Linked DNA regions of Arabidopsis thaliana. The protein of the gene in region 3 interacts with the protein of the main gene of each other region in a biochemical or structural test. Each region holds a gene or a part of one and is shown on either strand. Other genes may lie near its edges.

Evidence for each region. The genes of interacting proteins can lie anywhere in the genome.
Region 1: of the proteins of BIN2 (region 3) and EIF4B2, one has a biochemical effect on the other in vitro, tested with the Arabidopsis thaliana proteins (one study listed by BioGRID).
Region 2: of the proteins of BIN2 (region 3) and ARF2, one has a biochemical effect on the other in vitro, tested with the Arabidopsis thaliana proteins (one study listed by BioGRID).

What each region holds. Positions count from the first base shown.
Region 1 is NC_003070.9:4,439,864-4,445,704, reverse strand, and holds EIF4B2 (eukaryotic initiation factor 4B2), read left to right. Parts: upstream 1-1,750; 5' UTR 1,751-2,184; coding exon 2,185-3,374; intron 3,375-4,104; coding exon 4,105-4,536; intron 4,537-4,750; coding exon 4,751-4,778; 3' UTR 4,779-5,301; downstream 5,302-5,841. Other genes in the region: AT1G13030 (sphere organelles protein-like protein), read left to right, coding at 1-85, 172-212, 292-483, 573-644, 738-887, 1,002-1,152, 1,231-1,421. UniProt on the Arabidopsis thaliana protein: Promotes the eIF4F and eIF4A RNA-dependent ATP-hydrolysis activity with different efficiency depending on mRNAs, thus providing mRNA discrimination during initiation of translation.
Region 2 is NC_003076.8:24,908,432-24,915,935, reverse strand, and holds ARF2 (auxin response factor 2), read right to left. Parts: upstream 5,746-7,504; 5' UTR 5,326-5,745; exon of another isoform or gene 5,224-5,325; 5' UTR 5,078-5,223; coding exon 4,924-5,077; intron 4,834-4,923; coding exon 4,718-4,833; intron 4,593-4,717; coding exon 4,497-4,592; intron 4,413-4,496; coding exon 4,356-4,412; intron 4,262-4,355; coding exon 4,106-4,261; intron 4,004-4,105; coding exon 3,919-4,003; intron 3,825-3,918; coding exon 3,734-3,824; intron 3,655-3,733; coding exon 3,490-3,654; intron 3,356-3,489; coding exon 3,236-3,355; intron 3,143-3,235; coding exon 3,067-3,142; intron 2,991-3,066; coding exon 2,819-2,990; intron 2,723-2,818; coding exon 1,800-2,722; intron 1,709-1,799; coding exon 1,518-1,708; intron 1,434-1,517; coding exon 1,256-1,433; 3' UTR 1,216-1,255; intron 1,123-1,215; exon of another isoform or gene 1,120-1,122; coding exon of another isoform or gene 1,063-1,119; 3' UTR 541-1,062; downstream 1-540. UniProt on the Arabidopsis thaliana protein: Auxin response factors (ARFs) are transcriptional factors that bind specifically to the DNA sequence 5'-TGTCTC-3' found in the auxin-responsive promoter elements (AuxREs). Could act as transcriptional activator or repressor.
Region 3 is NC_003075.7:10,294,208-10,299,927, reverse strand, and holds BIN2 (Protein kinase superfamily protein), read right to left. Parts: upstream 3,791-5,720; 5' UTR 3,455-3,790; coding exon 3,440-3,454; intron 3,403-3,439; exon of another isoform or gene 2,851-3,402; coding exon 2,758-2,850; intron 2,667-2,757; coding exon 2,334-2,666; intron 2,242-2,333; coding exon 2,167-2,241; intron 2,074-2,166; coding exon 2,017-2,073; intron 1,923-2,016; coding exon 1,782-1,922; intron 1,692-1,781; coding exon 1,641-1,691; intron 1,561-1,640; coding exon 1,465-1,560; intron 1,379-1,464; coding exon 1,295-1,378; intron 1,213-1,294; coding exon 1,015-1,212; 3' UTR 539-1,014; downstream 1-538. UniProt on the Arabidopsis thaliana protein: Negative regulator in brassinosteroid signal transduction pathway important for plant growth. May be also involved in auxin signaling pathway. Phosphorylates and increases the degradation of BZR1 and BZR2/BES1 by the proteasome.

The sequences.
Region 1 (5,841 bases), on a different chromosome or scaffold from region 3:
CAGGCAGAAGAAGTTAGTGATGGTTTCGGGGATGAAGTTGTACCTGTGGAAGTGAGGCCAGGCCACATACGCTTCAAGCCTCTCGGTAAATTATTATGTAAATTTCTCTCTGTATAGCTTTTGTGCGTTTGCAAGGCTCCTCACAGTTTCCCTTATATGCTTATTTTTCAGCTGGAACAGATGAAGCCTCTCTTGATAGTGAACCTCTTGTGGTATGACTTGACCCTATGTTTGTATCCTTAAAGCTTTGCCTAAGCTGAATCTGTAATGATTATGTCTAAATAATATTAGGAAAATGTCTTGTGGAATGGAAACATGACGAAGAAGAAGGGACAGAAATGGGGCACAGAGAAGTCAGGGTTTTCCAAACGATATGCTCAGGATTTTAATGAAGATGCTACGACACAGCCCGCTGAAGCAGAGACACTTGCTAATTGTCCGATTGATTATGAACAGCTTGTGGCTTACACTGGCTCAGTAAAGGTTTGTTTATAGTCTTTACTACCCCCAGCAGGTTGTTTATAGATTCAGCATTTTTAAACTCCTTAACTCCTGGTTTGTTAACTTTACAGAAAGGAGATGTTATTGCATACCGCCTCATTGAGTTAACATCATCTTGGACACCCGAGGTTTCCTCTTTTCGGGTAAAATTTCTGGCTCTCCTTTTAAGCCAAATTCGATCAATCAACGCTTATTCTGAGGAACTTATCCACTTTACAATATACTTCTTTTGATAGGTTGGGAAGATAAGCTACTATGATCCAGACTCCAAGATGGTGACTTTGATGCCTGTTCAAGAATTTCCAATCGAGAAAAAGACAGAAGAGGACGACGATTTCTGTATGCAACCTGATACATCTCTTTATAAAGAAGATGGATCCCTGGAGGTATGCTTCATGGTTTACATTATGTCATACATATCTTATGAACAAGAACATTCTTGTAGTTGTTTGCTTGCTAAGCATCAGAATTCTAATATAAGAAAGACTTTGCTTCTGCAGATAGAATTTTCTGCTCTGCTCGATGTTCGCAGTGTCAAAACTAGCAGCTCAGATTCTGCAGAAGTCGCCAAGTCAGCACTGCCCGAGCCTGACCAGTCAGCTAAAAAGCCAAAGCTAAGCGCAAACAAAGAATTGCAAACCCCTGCAAAAGGTAAATTTTCCATCAATCTTGGATCGACATTGTATTGAAATAGATGGAGTCTTATCTACTTTCATTGGAATATTGCAGAAAATGGAGAAGTGAGCCCTTGGGAAGAACTAAGTGAAGCTTTAAGTGCAAAGAAAGCAGCGTTGTCTCAGGCCAACAATGGGTGGAACAAGAAAGGGAGTTCAAGTGGAGGCTCATGGTCTTACAAGGCACTGCGAGGCAGTGCTATGGGTCCTGTAATGAACTATCTCAGATCTCAGAAAGAGATTTGAGAAACTAGGTCACATCTCTCTAGAAGAAACTCTGCTGCTTTTGTCTTCATTTTGGATATGAAAAACTCAGACAAAGGGTAGAGAAAGCCATTTTGTTTTTGATGCTGTAAACGCACAGTTTAGCTTTCTAAGGTTAAAGGTTTATGTATAGAGAAAAACGATGAATGTGTAATACTCTCTCAAGATCTTTTTGAATTTCACGTTTGAATCCATTCAAAAATCTGAAAAATGAATGTGTTATATATCATATCCATTTATGTCTTCATTTTCTATAATCACCCGATTTAAAGAAATGGATGCAATGTATATGTTTTGAAGTTGGTGGGAAAAACAAAGATAAATAATTTGATAAGAATTGGCTAAAAACAAAGACTCATGACCGTTCGTTTCCTGTACAAGTCAACCGTCACTTGCTAACACGTCGCGTGAACCACAACGGCACAACGTTCAAGCCATTAACTTCCTCGTAAAACTGATTTCTACGTGTACCACACGCTCCAATACGTCGCGTATTGCTATCTCTCTTTCTCCGTCCATTGCTCCTCCGTTCCGAAACCTACAAACAAACCAGCTTCACAAGGAAATAAATCGATTTTTACATATAAAAAATTTCATCTTTAGGCGACGACGAGAGAATCTTTAGATTCGATTTCTCACTCGGAGCTACTTTGAATTGGAATCTTTAGATTCGTCACTCTCAATTTCTGTCCTGCGTTTTTCAGATCTGGGGGAATCTCCGAATTTGGAATTGGAAAATTCACAGATGTCGAAACCTTGGGGTGGAATCGGCGCATGGGCTGATGAGGCTGAGCGTGCCGATGAAGAGCAAGCTGCTGAAGCTACAGCCACGGCGGCAGATTCACAGAGTTTCCCGAGTCTGAAAGAGGCTGCGACTGCTAAGTCTTCTAAGAAGAAGAAGAAGATGACTTTATCGGAGTTTACCAAAGGAGCATACACTGCTCCGAGTTCTGCTGGATTGACGAGAGAGCAGATGCTTCAGCTACCTACTGGTCCAAGACAACGTTCTGAGGATGAAATGCAACCTGGTCGTCTCGGTGGTGGATTCTCTTCTTATGGTGGAGGAAGGTCTAGTGGACCTCCGGGAAGAATGTCACGAGATCGAGAGGATTCTGATGGGTCTTGGGGCGGTGGTGGTGGTGGGAGGAGATCTTATGGTGGATTTGATGATGATCAGAGGGGATCTAATTCTAGGGTTTCTGATTTCCCACAAGTTTCTAGGGCTGATGAGGATGATGATTGGGGAAAAGGAAAGAAATCGCTTCCTTCGTTTGATCAAGGACGTCAAGGTAGTCGTTATGGTGGTGGGGGAGGTAGTTTTGGTGGAGGAGGAGGAGGTGGTGCTGGCAGTTATGGCGGCGGTGGTGCTGGTGCTGGTAGTGGAGGTGGAGGTGGATTCTCTAAAGCTGATGAGGTTGATAATTGGGCAGCGGGTAAAGCAAAATCATCTACGTTTGGGTCGGGTTTCCGTGAATCCGGACCAGAGCCTGACCGATGGGCTCGAGGAGTCCTTCCTTCTGGTGGTGGGGTTCAGGAAGAGCGACGTCGTCTTGTATTTGAACCACGAAAGGCTGATACAGAAGTGAGTGAAACTCCAACTGCTGTGAAGACGAGTAAGCCGAGTCCATTTGGAGCAGCTAGACCGAGAGAGCAAGTTTTGGCGGAGAAAGGATTGGACTGGAAGAAACTTGACTCGGATATTGAGGCCAAGAAGGGACAAACAAGCAGACCATCAAGCGCGCAATCGAGCAGACCATCAAGTGCTCAATCTAACAGGTCTGAGAGTTCAGCATTGAACAATGTGGAGAATGTGGTGAAACCGAGACCAAAGGTGAATCCTTTTGGTGATGCAAAACCTCGGGAAGTATTGCTGGAGGAACAAGGGAAAGATTGGCGCAAGATTGATTCTGAACTCGAGCATCGCAGGGTTGACAGGTCCTTATTCATTTGGATTTTCTTTCTTTTCTCTGAGCAATGTGAATTTCCGTCAATTCTATGTTGCTGCCATGGGTTGAATGTTAATTATGTCTCAAATAATCCGCTGTTCAACATACTGAATCAGAAAAGTTTGATCTTTTAAGTGATATGAACTGGTGAACCATTAGAGGATAGTAAATTATATTCAAAGTAATAGCTTTAGGTAATTTTGCCACTTCGGCTTATTATTTCAAATTCAAAATGGAAACTAATTGAATGATTTATCTACTTAAGTTTTAGTGTATTCGTGGTTTTCTTTTGATGACATGTTGAATGAATGTCTTCTTAAGCATCTCGGCATCAGACTTTTATCTGAAAGTTGCTTCATTACCAAATATATGCATTGCCCATTTCTTTGGCAGATTGATTGATCTTTGTTCTCTCAACTGTGCTCTTTTTGAACTTATTTTGTTCCTATATCTTTTTTATTCAGCCTCCTTGGCATTTATAGAATTGCATAACATGTAACATGTAACTTGTAAGACAGCTCTTGCATTTTTTGGTATCTCATGCTGTCACATTCGTCTGAGTTTTGTGTCTTCTTTTGTTAACTCTTTTGTGAGCTCTGTGATGCCTTGTTGGTAGATAAATAACTTCTCTGTGATTATGGTGATGACTTTCTAGATCATCTCTTGATTAGCTATGGTCTCACTTTTCATCTCGGTCTCTTGAAACACAAAAATTTCAGGCCTGAAACAGAGGGAGAGAGGATGTTGAAGGAAGAGATTGAAGAACTACGGAAGAAACTCGAGAAGGAGGCAGCCATTGCACCTGAGAGCAAGGAATCTCAACAGGAATCCGACAGTAATCACCAAAATCTACCGGATCTCATACGTGAGAAAGAAAAGAACCTAGACTTACTGATCCGTGAGCTGGACGACAAAGTCAGGTTCAGGCCACGAGCAGTTGAGAGGCCTGGATCCAGTGCAAGCAGAGGCGGTTCCTATTCAGAAAGACCACATTCACGGGCTGGATCAATCGATGAGTCTAGGAGTGTTGAATCCATGGAAAGACCTAGATCACATGGCACAGGCGATAATTGGCCAAGACCAGTAGATGATCGAAGAAACTTCCAAGGAAGCAAGGAACGTGGATTCTTCAACAACAGAAACTTCGACAGGTTAGCCTTTTACATCTGATTCAATCCCATTCCAAGGAACAGACTTACAATATACTCGCATTCAATAGCTTCCTTCCTACTTATCTGGGGTTGACATGAACCCAAAAGTTAGTATAAAGATCCAAACTTGGGTCATTCCTTATAATGTTTGCTTCTGTGTATCAAGATCTTGAGATGCGAGTAAACTGACATTTCAGATTTTCGGGTTTCACAGGTCATCGTCAGCAAGGGAAGGATGGTAAAAAAGGAAAGGAAGGATGAATGTGGAATGAGATTGGAGTTTGGCTGACACACCATTCTCAGATTTTGAAGAAGACAGATAAGAGAGAAGCTTCAATAACATTAATAAGAAAAATTCATCTCCTTTTTTAAAAAACCTAATTAGGGGTTTTTTCTTTTTTTGTTTTTACTGGTTCATCTTCGGTATTGAAGCCTAATGGTTTCTTCTTCTACTTGTTTTTTTGGTCATTTGCTCGTGAAACGGCAGAGCACAAGACTTGTGACAATTGATGTGTCTTCAGAATTTTTGGAGACAGAGACTCTGTTCTGTTCCTTCTTCTCTGTTTAAACATTCTATTTACCACTACTGTTTCTAATTGTGTCTTATTGTCATCTTCTATTTCAAATTTGTGTAGCTTTGTTTTATAGTCAAGGGCTTGTGTCATTTTGGTTAAAGTGAGATTTCACATTTTTTGATTCGTTGCACATAACGTGACGACAATGTTGAGCAATGAAGAAGACTTGGAAGGTAAAGACCATTGTTCCAGACCAGAAAGGTTTAGCCATGGATTCACGCAGTACAGCTTGGAAAGGCTATATATCTACTTATTCTCCTTGTTCCAGATCAAATTTGAAGGTAAGGATATAGTGTAAAAAAGAATGCGACTTCACTGGGGATCGAACCCAGAATCTCTGGTTTCGTAGACCAGCGCCTTATCCATTGGGCCATGAAGTCGTTTTGTTCTTTTTCCTCAAAGTTATTATATCACATACAACAATATTGTAACTTCCAAAGAGAACATATTTGGCCATTATATTCACTACCATTATTAAAAAAACACATTCTTGTTTCGGATTTTGGACATTACACCGATGAGATCTTGTGTCGAGGATGAGGATGTTAGGATTCTACAATAGGAGTATGAAGCGATTAATACTAATACAATATATAAAATAGGATGAGTTAACTTATTGTCAATTAGTTTTACGTTAGATGCTCATGATTCCTAACATAGGAGAGGTTGTAACATTTCTCATAGACGAGTGTTTTCACTGAAAACTCAGAAGCCAAAATATATCTCTTGG
Region 2 (7,504 bases), on a different chromosome or scaffold from region 3:
GATGTGTCATCCATATCAGACCTATCACTATATGTGTCGATGGTAGAATTACAAGGAGCTAGAGAACCACTTATTTAACTATGCAGTTTTGTATTGTTGTAAGATAATGGCATAAACTGATACAATTGAAAGTTTTTCCATAAACTCAGCAAGTTTGATAAAATGTTTGTTGTGTTTCTGTGACGATTGAGATTGTCGGCTTAAGGCGGTAGTATGCCAGAGTTGCCGGTGTTGTGTGTTTCATATGGTTTAAAGTCTTGATTTAGATAGAGTTCTACCTAAATACAAGTTTGGTTATGAAGAGCCATATGATAGAATGAAACCATAGATCACGAAACTTTGATCATGTGTTTGCCATGGTGTCATCTTTCTGTTTTTCAGCGGATTCGTTTATATGGACATGAGCATAGCTAGAGAAATAAACTTGAAAACCCAAACCTTGTTTTCCTCATTGTTACAAGGGAAACAACAAATTTTAGCATCCAGTTTTTTTTTCAAAGTACTTTAAAAAGAGGGCTCACTGTTTTGCTCATTGCAAGCTTAATTTTCAGATTGTAGCTAGAAACATCCGAATTTATTTAATGTAAGGATTCGAAATGGAATCCGTTTGTTAAGAGGTCTTACAGTTTCGTGAATATATCTATATCACCGTCTAATACGAAAAGCTGCAAAATACCGACAAGACCAGACCAAAACCAAAAGTCAGCAAGAGAATAAGTTGAGAAAATGTGAATCGACAAGATAATTAAAAAAGGGCAAGAGCTTGAAAACTTATGTACATTGGGATTAATATAAACAATAAAAAGACTTCAAGAGATCTTTGGAAGAAGGAAAAAAATACATCCATAAAAAGAACCGATACCAGCCTCCGACTACAACTCCACACCATCATATTCTACTTATAAAAGAGCTTTTCATATTCTACTATATAATACCTGTAACCTTTTTATGTTTTACTTTATAATATCTATTAATTATTATTAGATAGATAATAAGGGTGATGGAAGATGCTAATTATCTAAGTGGCCAACAAAATACTTCAAAAATTGCATTTTTAATATCTTATCTTAAACCCATCATCCCATTTTGCTCTCCAGTCTCCACCAATCGACCCCCATCCTGCTGTCATTAACAGAACAAACATCAGTCGAATGTAATGACATAAACTTTTGGCTGTGTCTCTAGTCTACTAATATCTCAAAAGCTTTTACATACCTCGGCTTGCAGCAAAAGGGTTGTTGGTTATTTTGTTTGTTTAAGAGTTCCCAGCGCTGGACAATGAAGGATTTGATGCAGACTTGGCGTCCTTTGCATCTGATCCTTCCCCAACAACTGCTTCTTCCTCGCTCCTACAGCTTAAAGTCCCCGGGTTCATCTTCCTCACTTCCTCTTTCGTGTATATGAAGATTTTGCGAACCATGCAACAAAACTCCCTGCAAGAGAGATCATTGTGTCAGTGTTATAAGAAAAACACTAACATCGATATAAACTAAGATGGAAAATTTGCAAAATCTTACTGCCAAGGATCGTCACCAACAAGCATCATATCATTCTCTTCATCTGTGTAAACTATCAACCAATCTTTCTTAGGAGCCATCAACTCTCCATTGAACTCAAACAGCCTGTCCAGCTCAGCGACTAACTCCTCATAGTTTTGGAACTTTGAAAGATCCACTGAACGGCCAAGTGCAATTCCCTGCTTGTGAACCTTTACATCAATGTGTCATGTGTTAGTTGAAAAGTGATTCAAGGGTTATCACAACCTCATACACTTTGTGCTACATATTGCAAAAATTTACCTTTGTGCAACTCCTACTTGAGTTGGTTTTCGTTTGAGCATCCTTCGGATGAGGATTATTAGTCTGGAATGGTCTTCCCTGTTCACGATGATCGTTTGTTGATTTTGACCCTTTTGACTGATCTGAAAGGTCCTGAACCTTTGGTGATGCTATCTGTGTAAGCCCCGCAGCATCATTCAAGTTGTTTCTCTGAGACATGGTTGAGTCTGTCCCATTCATGTTGTTGGTCAGAGGAATGCCAAAGAGCCTGCAGTTCCCTTCTCTTGACTTTGCTGTCTCCTCTTGTATCGTGAAGGGTTGTTTTGTTACTTGCTCCCTAGCCTGAGCTTGCGCTTGAGCATTGACCACTTCCTCATAATAATTCAAAGCACGTGGACGTATTGGCCAGTTACCACCAGCATTCTCAGTCGATAGACCATTAAGAACAGGATATTCGCTGTATTTAACATTGCATCGCCCTTGGAGAGACGCATCAGTTGCTGCAGGTACCTTAGGAGATTCATGTAACTTCAGGGAGAGACCAGAGTGTATCATCTGCCACTGGTTAGCAAGATAATCGAACTTGCCTTCTGAATCACTCAAGATTCTCTTTGCAGGCATAGAAGGTGATGATGAATGGTCATAAAAAGGTATCCGCTGACCATGGGATGGATCTATGTTAGTCCCAAAGCCGGAGAGCAAATCTGTGTAAGTAGGTTCATGCCTGGCTGAGGACATCCAGTTCTCAGATCCATATCTTCTAGAACCCGAAACCACGTCAACCTTATCATCATCCGCTGAAGATTGCCAGACAACAGAATTCTCAGGAGCATCACACTCTACACTCTCAGTATGTTTCGTCCTCAAGGTCGAGTATTCTTGACCTTGCAAGACCCTTGAAAGTCCGCTTGCTGGTAAAGGGTCCATGTTTGCCTTAGTTGTACCTGTTTTGTGTACAATGAATTAGACTCCCACTGACAAGTTCAATTAAGTTTCAGACGCACTACTATGTGTACTACAGTGGAAGGGGAAGACATTACCTTCTCTGGTAAGCATCGAAGAGTCAGGAGATGAAGGTGCTATATTTGATCTGGGCCTCTTAGGCCTAGGCATTGGAACAGGACTCAAAGCAGGAGGAGCAAGAGCTGGCTCTACTTTCCACGGAGATACTCTATCAGGTCGAGGAATACTAGAAGTCTCATCCCATCTCACCTGAAAGACAATTGAACAATCAGCATTCATTATATTCAAACAATAGTCTTGATCCTCTCTAGAAACTAGGTCATACCTTGAGGGATCTCCACTTTGATTTTGGCCACCTAGTAGGATCAGACTCTTCAATCCCAACGATTGTGCCAGTAAACCTAATATAAATCAATACAACTTGTTAGGTTCGTTATTCCAAGAGAAAAAGGCTCAAGAGCTAACATATTTCAAAAGCAGAAGACAGGTTTTACCTCTGCTCAGGAGCCTCTTCGCCTTCAAATCTCATTTTGAATCTCATGCCAATAGAGTAGTTATTCTTAACAGACTCCATATACTGATCGAACGGAACAATAAACTCAGATGGGCTCGTCCTGTATTAAACAAAACAACACCGCATGAAAATTTAGTAGAGTGATTCACTACCAAGCATCAGACATATAGAGACATACAAAGCAAAGAGCTCAAAAAACTGAAAGCTGTTTTGTGAGCTAATACAAATACAAACCTGGGTTTGTAGTAGACTGTAAACATAGTCCCTGTTGAAATGGCATGCCATGCGGTGGCCAGTACTCCAAGATGCATGCTATGGCTAGATATAACAGAAGACGGCACGTTTCCTTGTTGTCGCATCGCACGCCTTACACCAACTCTTAATTCTCCATTCTCGCCCCTGTAGAAGATTAAGATATTCCACATTATAGAAACTAACAGATACAGCTAAAGAAAACAATGAACTAAAATCCACAAACCTTAGAAATATAAACGCATCGCCTGCAACTAGCCTTTTGGAGCTAACAAACACACTCCACCCACTCTGTAGCAAATGCCTCCGTGGTTGACCTGGTCCATTATCACAAACATCAACAACCAGATAAGTTTGATGACACACAGACTCGAGAAAAACAGAAAATAAAAAAGTTACAGATTCCTATACCCCGGAATATATGTCTGAATCGCCACTCATTTGCATGCAAATCCTTTGCAACTAACTCTTGAGTGGGAGGCTGTCGAGACATATCCTGAGGGAAGAAACAAAAAATGAATTGAAGGCAATCTTAGAACAAAATTCAGGAAAAATAAGCCAATGAATAGATAGTTAGAAGCGCAAATGAAACACCAACCAGAGGTGGGAGACATTCATCCGCATGTCGCCTAAGAACAGAAAATCCACCATGTGTACTTGTGTCGGATGCAGTCAAGGTTTTGCAGAACGAATGCACCTGGAACCTCGGAGGTGGAGGAAGAGGCGCTTCTTTCTCAATTGCATTCTCGTCTTGCTGTATGGAACAAAAAATATATAGAATTCAGCATCTTGAAGAATAAGATCACCTCTACAACACTCAAACCAATAAATCAGAAAACAAAACTTACATTAGCCTCAGGAAGAAGAGTAATCTGCGCATAAACTTCATCTGTATCTGCCTCTGCCTGTAAAATCATAAACAAAACTCTTGTTAGCTGACAATCCAAGACACAGAAACCAAAATTTTCCAAGAAGTTAAAGAAACCTACCTTTAAATCTACATTAATAACTCGACAGAGAAGCTTTGACGGAAGATCATAGAGAGGCATCTGTTGTTCTGCCGCCTGGTTCGTCGAAGCCTCCACCTAATCATAAAACAATGGAAACCGACAAAGTTCATTAGAAAATATCTCAACAGGTACGAATCACAGAGGGGTTAACTCAAAGATTTAGCCAAAAATAGCAAGAACTCATAGATGAAATATCTCACCTGCTCGATGTGTCCTTGAGGAAAATAGAAGACTCGGTCGTCTTGTCTAGGAACCGTCACAAGCGGACCAGCACAAGCGTGCCATAGCTCTCTGTAAAGAGCAGCCTCAGGGTCCACTATGAAGACGAAGAAGAAGAAGATAAATTAGATCAAGTCAGTCTGTAACCAAAACCAAGCTTAAGAAACCCTAAGAAACGGAGACTTACAAGCACGCTCAGCCGCAGCGGATCGGGTAGAATTACTTTTTTGCCCCTCGCCGGCGACGGAGACATTTCTAGTCTCCTTAGGGTCACTAAAACCAGAGGAGGAGAAGTTATCTCCTCCACGATTACCTTTCATTGAAACCTCCGAACTCGCCATACCTTCCGAAGCTCAGATCTGTTTCATCTGGTACCAAATAAGCCTCTAAGCAGACGATATCAACAAGAAATCTCCAAATCCGTCTCTGAAAAAGCTCAAAACTCGCTTCGGTAGTCCACTTGATTCCTTCCTTTGTCTTTATCTCACTAACAAACACAATCACCACTAGTTTAGCTCCTTGACATTACTCGATAAAACTATCAGAGAAGATAAACCCTAGAATCAAACGATAAAACCACCAATTTCACCTCAAATTGCCTCCGATTTAGAGATACGACAACTCCAAAGCTCTCTCTCTCTCTCTCTCGCCGTCCTCGCTAGTCTAGGCTTTATCGGAGTCACAGACGCTTGAATACCGACGACGAGCGATTTTCTCTTGTTTTGTCTCTCAGAGTTTGTCTCTCTAACATTCTCTCTCTTTTTATTTCTTCGTCTTTCCTATCCTTTTGTTTTTCTGGGTATGAGGCGACCAATGGGCTTAACCAGAGGTAGTCAAAACTCAGCTTCAATCATTTCAACCGCGGTAAACTTCTAACCCATATGGATAACCGGCATTCACCGGTTACCATTCCCTCTTTCATACCGGCTATTACCGGTTGTAACCATTTCCGGGGGACCAGGGTCTGCGACCTCACAAAACCAAAGACAAGTGACGATTTTATTTTCTTTCCTCCACTTTTTCTTATTTTTTAATAAAGCCTTTTCAATAGAAAAAATTGACATATCCTTTTCTAAAATTTAATTTTTTAAAAAACAAATTGGAGAAGATAAATTGAAGAAAAGACCCAAATTGCAGACATTTCCAAGTCGTATTTCCCCAGAAATATAGCAATTTAAGTCATCCTAAAATTGTTGACCAAAACAATTCTTGAAAAAACTATGGTCTGGTAGTATTTATTTACTGGTGACTGTGAGTTGAATACTTTTATTTATTTACAGTTACTGTGAGTTGAAAAATAAATACTCAAGTTGCCAAAAAAAATCCATTAGGGGAGAAAATAAATTAAATGTGTAGAGGGGATTAGCAAGTAAGAAAGGCTGCTTTACTTTTTTAGATGGGACTAACGGCGTCAACAAGTCGTGAGCAAGCGTCAACTTTTGATTGGGTAAAGAGGATAACGGTGTTTGGGAAAGAGAGCGTCAATGGGAAAGGTGTTGTGTTTTTATTGGGAAGTGGCTTTGTCGTGCTGTGAACAGGCAGGTCTGGGTGGACGTAGAGAGAACGAGAGAGGGAGAAAAATGCTACGTGGCACCAGAAAAATATGTGCATTTTAGCATTTTAAAGATATTTCGGATGTCATTTTCTATGGTCTTTTGGCTATCGTGCGCCTCTAGGAATTTTCGTCTCGTGAATCTCTCGTACTTTAATTTACCCTGTTTTTCTTTTTATGGAAAAACAAAGACGTTTCATTATCTGTTTTTTATTTTCTCTAATTCAATTACAACTCAGATATATAAAAGATCGTCGAATATTATACGAACCTCAACCATATTTATGATATCCTGATGGCAGAACAAAAAATACGAAGCCTTAACAGTCATTCGATAGTTATTTTAAACTAGTAGTTGATTTTATCTAAAATCATTTGCTGAACAACTAAATTAACTCTTGGATTACCACTTAATACAGCTGGCTAATGGGATGAATCTGCTTCAAAAATTAAATTTCCGTATGCCCCGTCATAATTACATATTTACATATATTGTTGTAAGTGGAAGCGTTAAAAAGGAAGAAAATCTGGTTTATAGACAAGAGTTTATTGTAGTCCACTCATACAGCTGGCAAATAAGATTAATTAGTGTTCCTAAAAAAAAATTAAGTCCAAATTACGAATGAATTAAATCAACCTTTTTCTTTTATAGTAGTATCTACTAAAACGTTGGCCATGTTCTTTTGTTGATTGCTGCGTCAGCTACCTGCGACCCAAAAAAAGTTCTCATCTCTTTTTCACTTTCATTTCTCATTTTTTTCATCTCTGCCGCATCGACTGTAATTCGGCCATTCCGTAGACGCTGGAATTTTCAGCGTCTCAAATTCCCTTTCTCCTATCTCTTCAGATCTGTCGCTGCGACTCTTTCATTCATCTCACCTTCATCTCTCTTTCTTTTTTTCTTTATATTTTATACCGTCGGTGCTTGTCGCAGCGATAAACAAAAGAACAAGGTAAATATCAAATAACTAATCGCGACAAAACTTTTTATTTTCTTCTAATTATTATATATCGTTTAATATTTAACACACGCACACTATTTTGCACAAATTATTTTTAACAACACGTAAACTATCTCTCTGTGAAACACAAAATCTATTGCAAAATTACAAACCATGAAAATCAAATTTGGAAAAAAAAAAAAATCAGGATAACGATGGAAAATAAAAAAGAAGACTGTTCAGCAATAAGCCAATAACACGTCACACGCGATATG
Region 3 (5,720 bases):
GTCTTTTGTGTACGTACGTGTTTGATCTCTCGATAATAACTAGGGTTTCAAAAGCAACGAAGGAGAAGAGAAATTAGTAAATTGTTGCGTATGGTCTCTCGATCTATCTGATGTTGTTTATATAAAGACTAAGAGTCCAAGACCAGATAGGTTTTGTTAGTTTCGGATACTTTAATTGCTTGCTATCAAAGCCTTTCCCAAATATATTTTTTTTCTAAAAGGAGATGAATTTAACCTGATATAGGTCCCGCCTTTAGAAAATGTATGGTCTTTTAACTTGAACTAACAGATATTTAAAAAAAAAAAAGAAAAAAAAAGTCATGTAATTTTCTTTTTGTTTTAAAAATCCAATAAGTAATTCAATATCTGAAATTCTGAATTAAGAATTATATATTTGTAAATTTTCATTATTTAAAAATTTCTTCGAATCTTAAAACATATAAATACATAAATCAAATTTCCATGAGAGATAAAAAAAATTCACTTATTTATTTATAGGGTATTTATATGAGTAGCGAGATATTATTTTTGTAATGATTCGTGCAATTAAATTGAGTGAAAATTTAATACAAATATACTTATGCTTAAAGCAAAACCATGTATCCATTCATGAAGTGTTTGAAAAAAAAAAAAAGTGTTTGAAAGAAGCTCCTCGTTGAAAGAGTATCACTTTGATTACATTCTTCACCTTCTGCCCAAACTTTACTATATAAAAAAACTTCTGACTAAACTCATTTACATAAGGGGGAAAGAAAGAAGAAATGAAGCAAAGAGGAGACTGTGTTTTTCACCAAACTTGAAAAGAGAAGAGAAATAAGCAGATACAACACTGGAGAGTTTTTGTTTTCGCAGATTTGGGGGAGTTGGTTTTGCTAGCAGCTGGCTTTGTCTGAACGAGTTTGAGGAGGAAAAACTTTGAATTGTGTCCTCCACGTTTGCCTTCAACTACGACCTTGTGGCTCGTGTAATGGTACATTATATATAAAAAAGTAGTTGTCTTTTGCAGGATCCCTTTTAAGTTCCAGATTGATTCAAGAAGCTTAGACCCAATTGTCTCTTGATATGGTCTGGAATCAACTTGTTGACCAGTTCAGGTGATGATCCAGCTACTTCTTGTTTGAAGTTGAAGAGAGGCGGGAAAGGCCGTCCATTTGGTAAACGAGCGTTTGGTTCTCTGAGTTCATCAAAGAACGGATGTGCACAAGCTTCGAGCTGAAATACGAGGAAACAAAATATATAGTAAGGATTCAGTTGGATTCTTAGAGACTGAAGAAACCTCAAGACCAATGCTTACCGCTGTGCATCTTAGACTTGGAGAGTATTGAAGCAGCCTTGATGCAAAATCAATCGCTTCTGGGGGCATCCTTTTGTGGAAGATCTAAACCAAAACGTAATTATGATCAGTTGATGTGTGAAGAAAGAAACTGAAACAAGAACACATGCAAAAAGAGAAAAGACACTAACCTTGTGCCAGGGATGTGCCTTTATCTGTGGAAACCTGAAATCTGTGTAATGTGGATTCATACAACGGATTTCTTCTCGAGTTGGTGTACCAAGAACCTGTGTACAACAACTATACAGTGAGGATTTTGTAGCCAAAGAATGTAATTTGCAAGGAATCATCGTTTAAAGATTCTTACTTTTATAATTTCAACGAGCTGATCCACAGCATTTTCTCCGGGAAATAATGGCTGCATAAGAACATGATATAGTCACAATGAGTCCTAATGCAAATATACACATGGAGATTGAATAAGCTGGTTACTGAAAGAATTGTTTACCTGACCAAGAAGAAGCTCAGCAAGAACACAACCAGCAGACCAGATATCAATAGAAGTTGTGTACTCAGTGGCACCAAATATGAGCTCGGGTGCACGGTAGAATCGTGAGCAGATGTAAGAAATGTTGGCTTCACCTTTAACCTGAAGCAAAAGTAAATTTCAACAGTAAATGACAAGATCACAGAAAACAACAACCGCTACAAGTCGAATGAGTTTATATGTCACAAAGTCTTACGAGCTGTTTCGCACTGCCAAAGTCACAGATTTTGACTTGATGAGTAAGAGGATCAACCTATAGAAAGAGACCAGAAGAGATACATTAAGAACGAAAGAAACAAAGGCAAGAAAAAAAACAAAGAGTTCAATCTTAAAATGTTACACATACCAGAAGATTTTGAGGCTTTAGATCTCTGTGACAAACTCCAGCAACATTGTGAATGTAAGCAAGTCCCCGGAAGATCTAACATAACAAAAGGAAGTAATATCAGCCTAAGAACAATCTTATGTACATCAACTTTGGAAATGGAAGATATGAATGTGTGTTGTTATTACCTGATACATGTAAAGTTTAACATAGACAAGAGGCATTCTTTGGTTTGCACTACTATAATGTTTCAGAACTCGATACAAGCTCTCAGGGACATACTCCATAACCAAGTTCAAGAAAAGCTCGTCTTTACTTGTAGTCGAAAAGAAGCAATGCTTCAAACAAACCACATTCGGATGATCCATCACACGCATCAACTGAAGTTCTCGGTTCTTGTATCTTCTATCTTGCAAAACCTTCTTTATCGCCACGGTTTCTCCAGTCTCCAAACATTTTGCTTGGAAAACGATCCCGAACGAGCCTGTACCAACAACTCGCTCCGCCATGTAACTAATTGTCTAACAACAACATAGAAAAATGTATTGGTAACCATCAAAATCTTGCATATACATAAAAGTGAGTCTATTTGGTTAAAAGCCTTAAAAATACCTGTTTTGGTTCACCATTTTTGCCACCGATTGTGGTGGAAATAATATGACCAGTGACTTGATCATGTCCATCAACTACAGCAGCAGGCATCTCCTGAAAGAGAAAAGCTTTAATATCAGCACAAAACCATTATCAAAAGCTAAAAGAATAATGCTTGTCTGAGAATCAAAAGTCTAAAGAAGGAAACTTTTATCCTAAAAGAGTGGTTACAAAATAACCGTTACGCAGAGTGAATCTGATTTAGTTAAAACTAAAAATATATACTTTTGTCACGCCAAAAGAATGGTAAACAAAACAAATACATATAACAAACCAAACAAGGACTAATCTATGTTCAATTATGGATCTAGCAGCTTGTATAAACTCTGGATTAATCACAGATCGAGATATATAGACATGGATCATCCCAACAGAGCTAACTTAGAAAATTCTAAGCTCAGAACTCAAAACCCTCAGAGATCTCAGGGTAAGTCAAAAAGTTAACGAAAGCTCAAAACTTTGGACAAACCCAGAACTCAAAACCGTTCAACTTCAAGAGTACTAACTAAACTAGATTTATTATCACAAAACATCTGTAAGAACAGGAATCTCAAGACAACTAATTGAAGGGTCAAATGTGGAAAAACCAAAAAACAGGATCTTCTTCTTCAAAAGACAGCAAAAGGAACACAAGCAGCTTTACCTTATCATCAGCCATGGCGATAGAGACACAGAGAGGAGAAGAGAAAAGAAAGAGAGAGAGTGGATTTGAGAGAGAGAGAACAAATGAGTTTCAATCAGTTTGGTTGGTAATGATCATTGTGGCGATAGAGAGAGAAAGGGAAGCCGCAAGATGAGAAAAGAAGGAGAGAGAAAGAACAAGACCATGTGAATCCAGCTCTTCTCTTTCTCTTTCTTTATCTATCTACTACTTTCCGTTTTCTTCGCCATCTTCTTTCGTGTTTTTTATTTGTTAAGCTACAATTACGTAAACACCCTTGAAATTGCTGGTTAATTACGCAGACACGGACTCTTTGTGGAAATTTCGTGATCAAAGGGAAGGCATCATGTACTTGTCGGTCAAATTTGAATCATGTATTCGTTTGGTTTAAGGTCTAAATTGACATTTCATGTAATCTCATAAAATGTTAGAATGCTAGAATTGTCAATGTCTCAAATTTTCACTATCATAAAGTTTATAAGAGGACTGAATATTTATCATATTCGTTGTATTTAGTTAATAAAATGAATGTAATATCACTCATTATTGTAAAAAAAATCAAAGATTAGTCAATACAAGTTAGTTTTACATTATTATAATTTGTTCACAAGTTCGACTTCAAGCAATCTCGTTATCTAGCGTTGTAAAATTTTAGTAATGGATACTTGATCAAAATATTATCATTCCAATTTCATATAAGAAATTACTTGCAATAATTTTTTTTCCAGCGGTGACTTATATATATATTCCAAATTTTGGGTCTATTTTTTTTCTTAACACAAATTTTGGGTCTATTTTTTTTCTTAACACAAATTTTGGGTTTAATAATTATATCTAAGGTATGTGTATAAATAGAAAAGATAGGGCATGATGAAATTGGAACAATATTGTCAAAGATCCAAGTTTGACCATTTGGTGGGAAAACTTCTTTTTTGACATTGATGAAAGAAAAAAGCATTTATGTTTCTTTGGGTCTTAACTTTTTAATGTTTTTATTTTATAATTAAAATTTTAGACTTAAAAATGAGCTTTAATTATTACCTAATAGTGTAGCTTTACTTATTGTGTTTGTTTTTTTCTTTATATTTGTTTATTTATTTTTCTGGAAACATCAATATTAAAATCAATGATGATAATGATAGCAGTCCTAGCATTTGCAGAAGACAACAAAAATAATATTAATATAATTTCTTTTTGTTCAATTATGCATGGGACATACATACTTTTGGCTGTATGGACGGATTTACATTGCATATTTGTGAATTATCTTCAGGCTCAATTATTTAAATGTCGATATGCGTATTATCCAATCGTATATACAATAGCAACTAGATTATAAATGTTCATATACATTCGGTTTTAGCTGAAGATGTTAAATTGTCAATGTAGTAACTAGTAATTAAGTTGTTATTTTTCTCACAAAAAACAAAGTTTAAGTTGTTATGAGTGTTTTTGGTTCTATAGAAATTAGAAATGATATTAAGATTGTCCCCAAAAAAAAATGATATTAAGTTATTGTATATCTTTCTTGTTTCATTGTACGGATTAAACAAATCCCACGATTCTTGTTATATACAATAGTGTAATACTATTGGAGTGTAGGAAAATGAATCGAACCAAAAGCGGTCTCACTCAAGAAGCTTTTAGCCCTTTTTATTTTGGTAGATAATACATGTTTGTAAATAACTACATTAGATAAAAGATTATATAAATATATTTCTGTAAGGGATCTTGAATAACTCTTGAGGTATGGGAAATCACAATAACGTGCACCATGTGACTGAGGTTCGAACCAAGGCAGAGAATGAAGAACTAATTATTCATAACAGTCATTGACGATATATTTAATTTAAAAGATTGATAACATGAAAATGAGAGGCAAAGTTAAGTATAAAGACGAGAATAATGATTGGGTTTGTACGAAACGGAAGAGAAAATCCTATAACAAAAATTCTTTTTCCTAACTAACAGCCAACCGTCGGCAAAAAGAAATGAAAAAATTTGCAGGTAACCTCTTCATAAATCATAACTTCTCGAAGCATATTCTTGCCATTTCTTCAAGCATTCCAGCTAAACTATTGTCTACCTCCGTTAGTTTTTTTTTTTGTTTTTTTGATATATGATTCATCAGTTGATCCAGTTAGTTTTACTAAAAAGTTATTGAAGTATTATAGAATTGATTTTCTTTCCAGAGGCCTGAACGATAACCTCATTGTATAACCGAGTTTCAAATGTTTTTCGACTAATGTCAAGAAATCGGTAA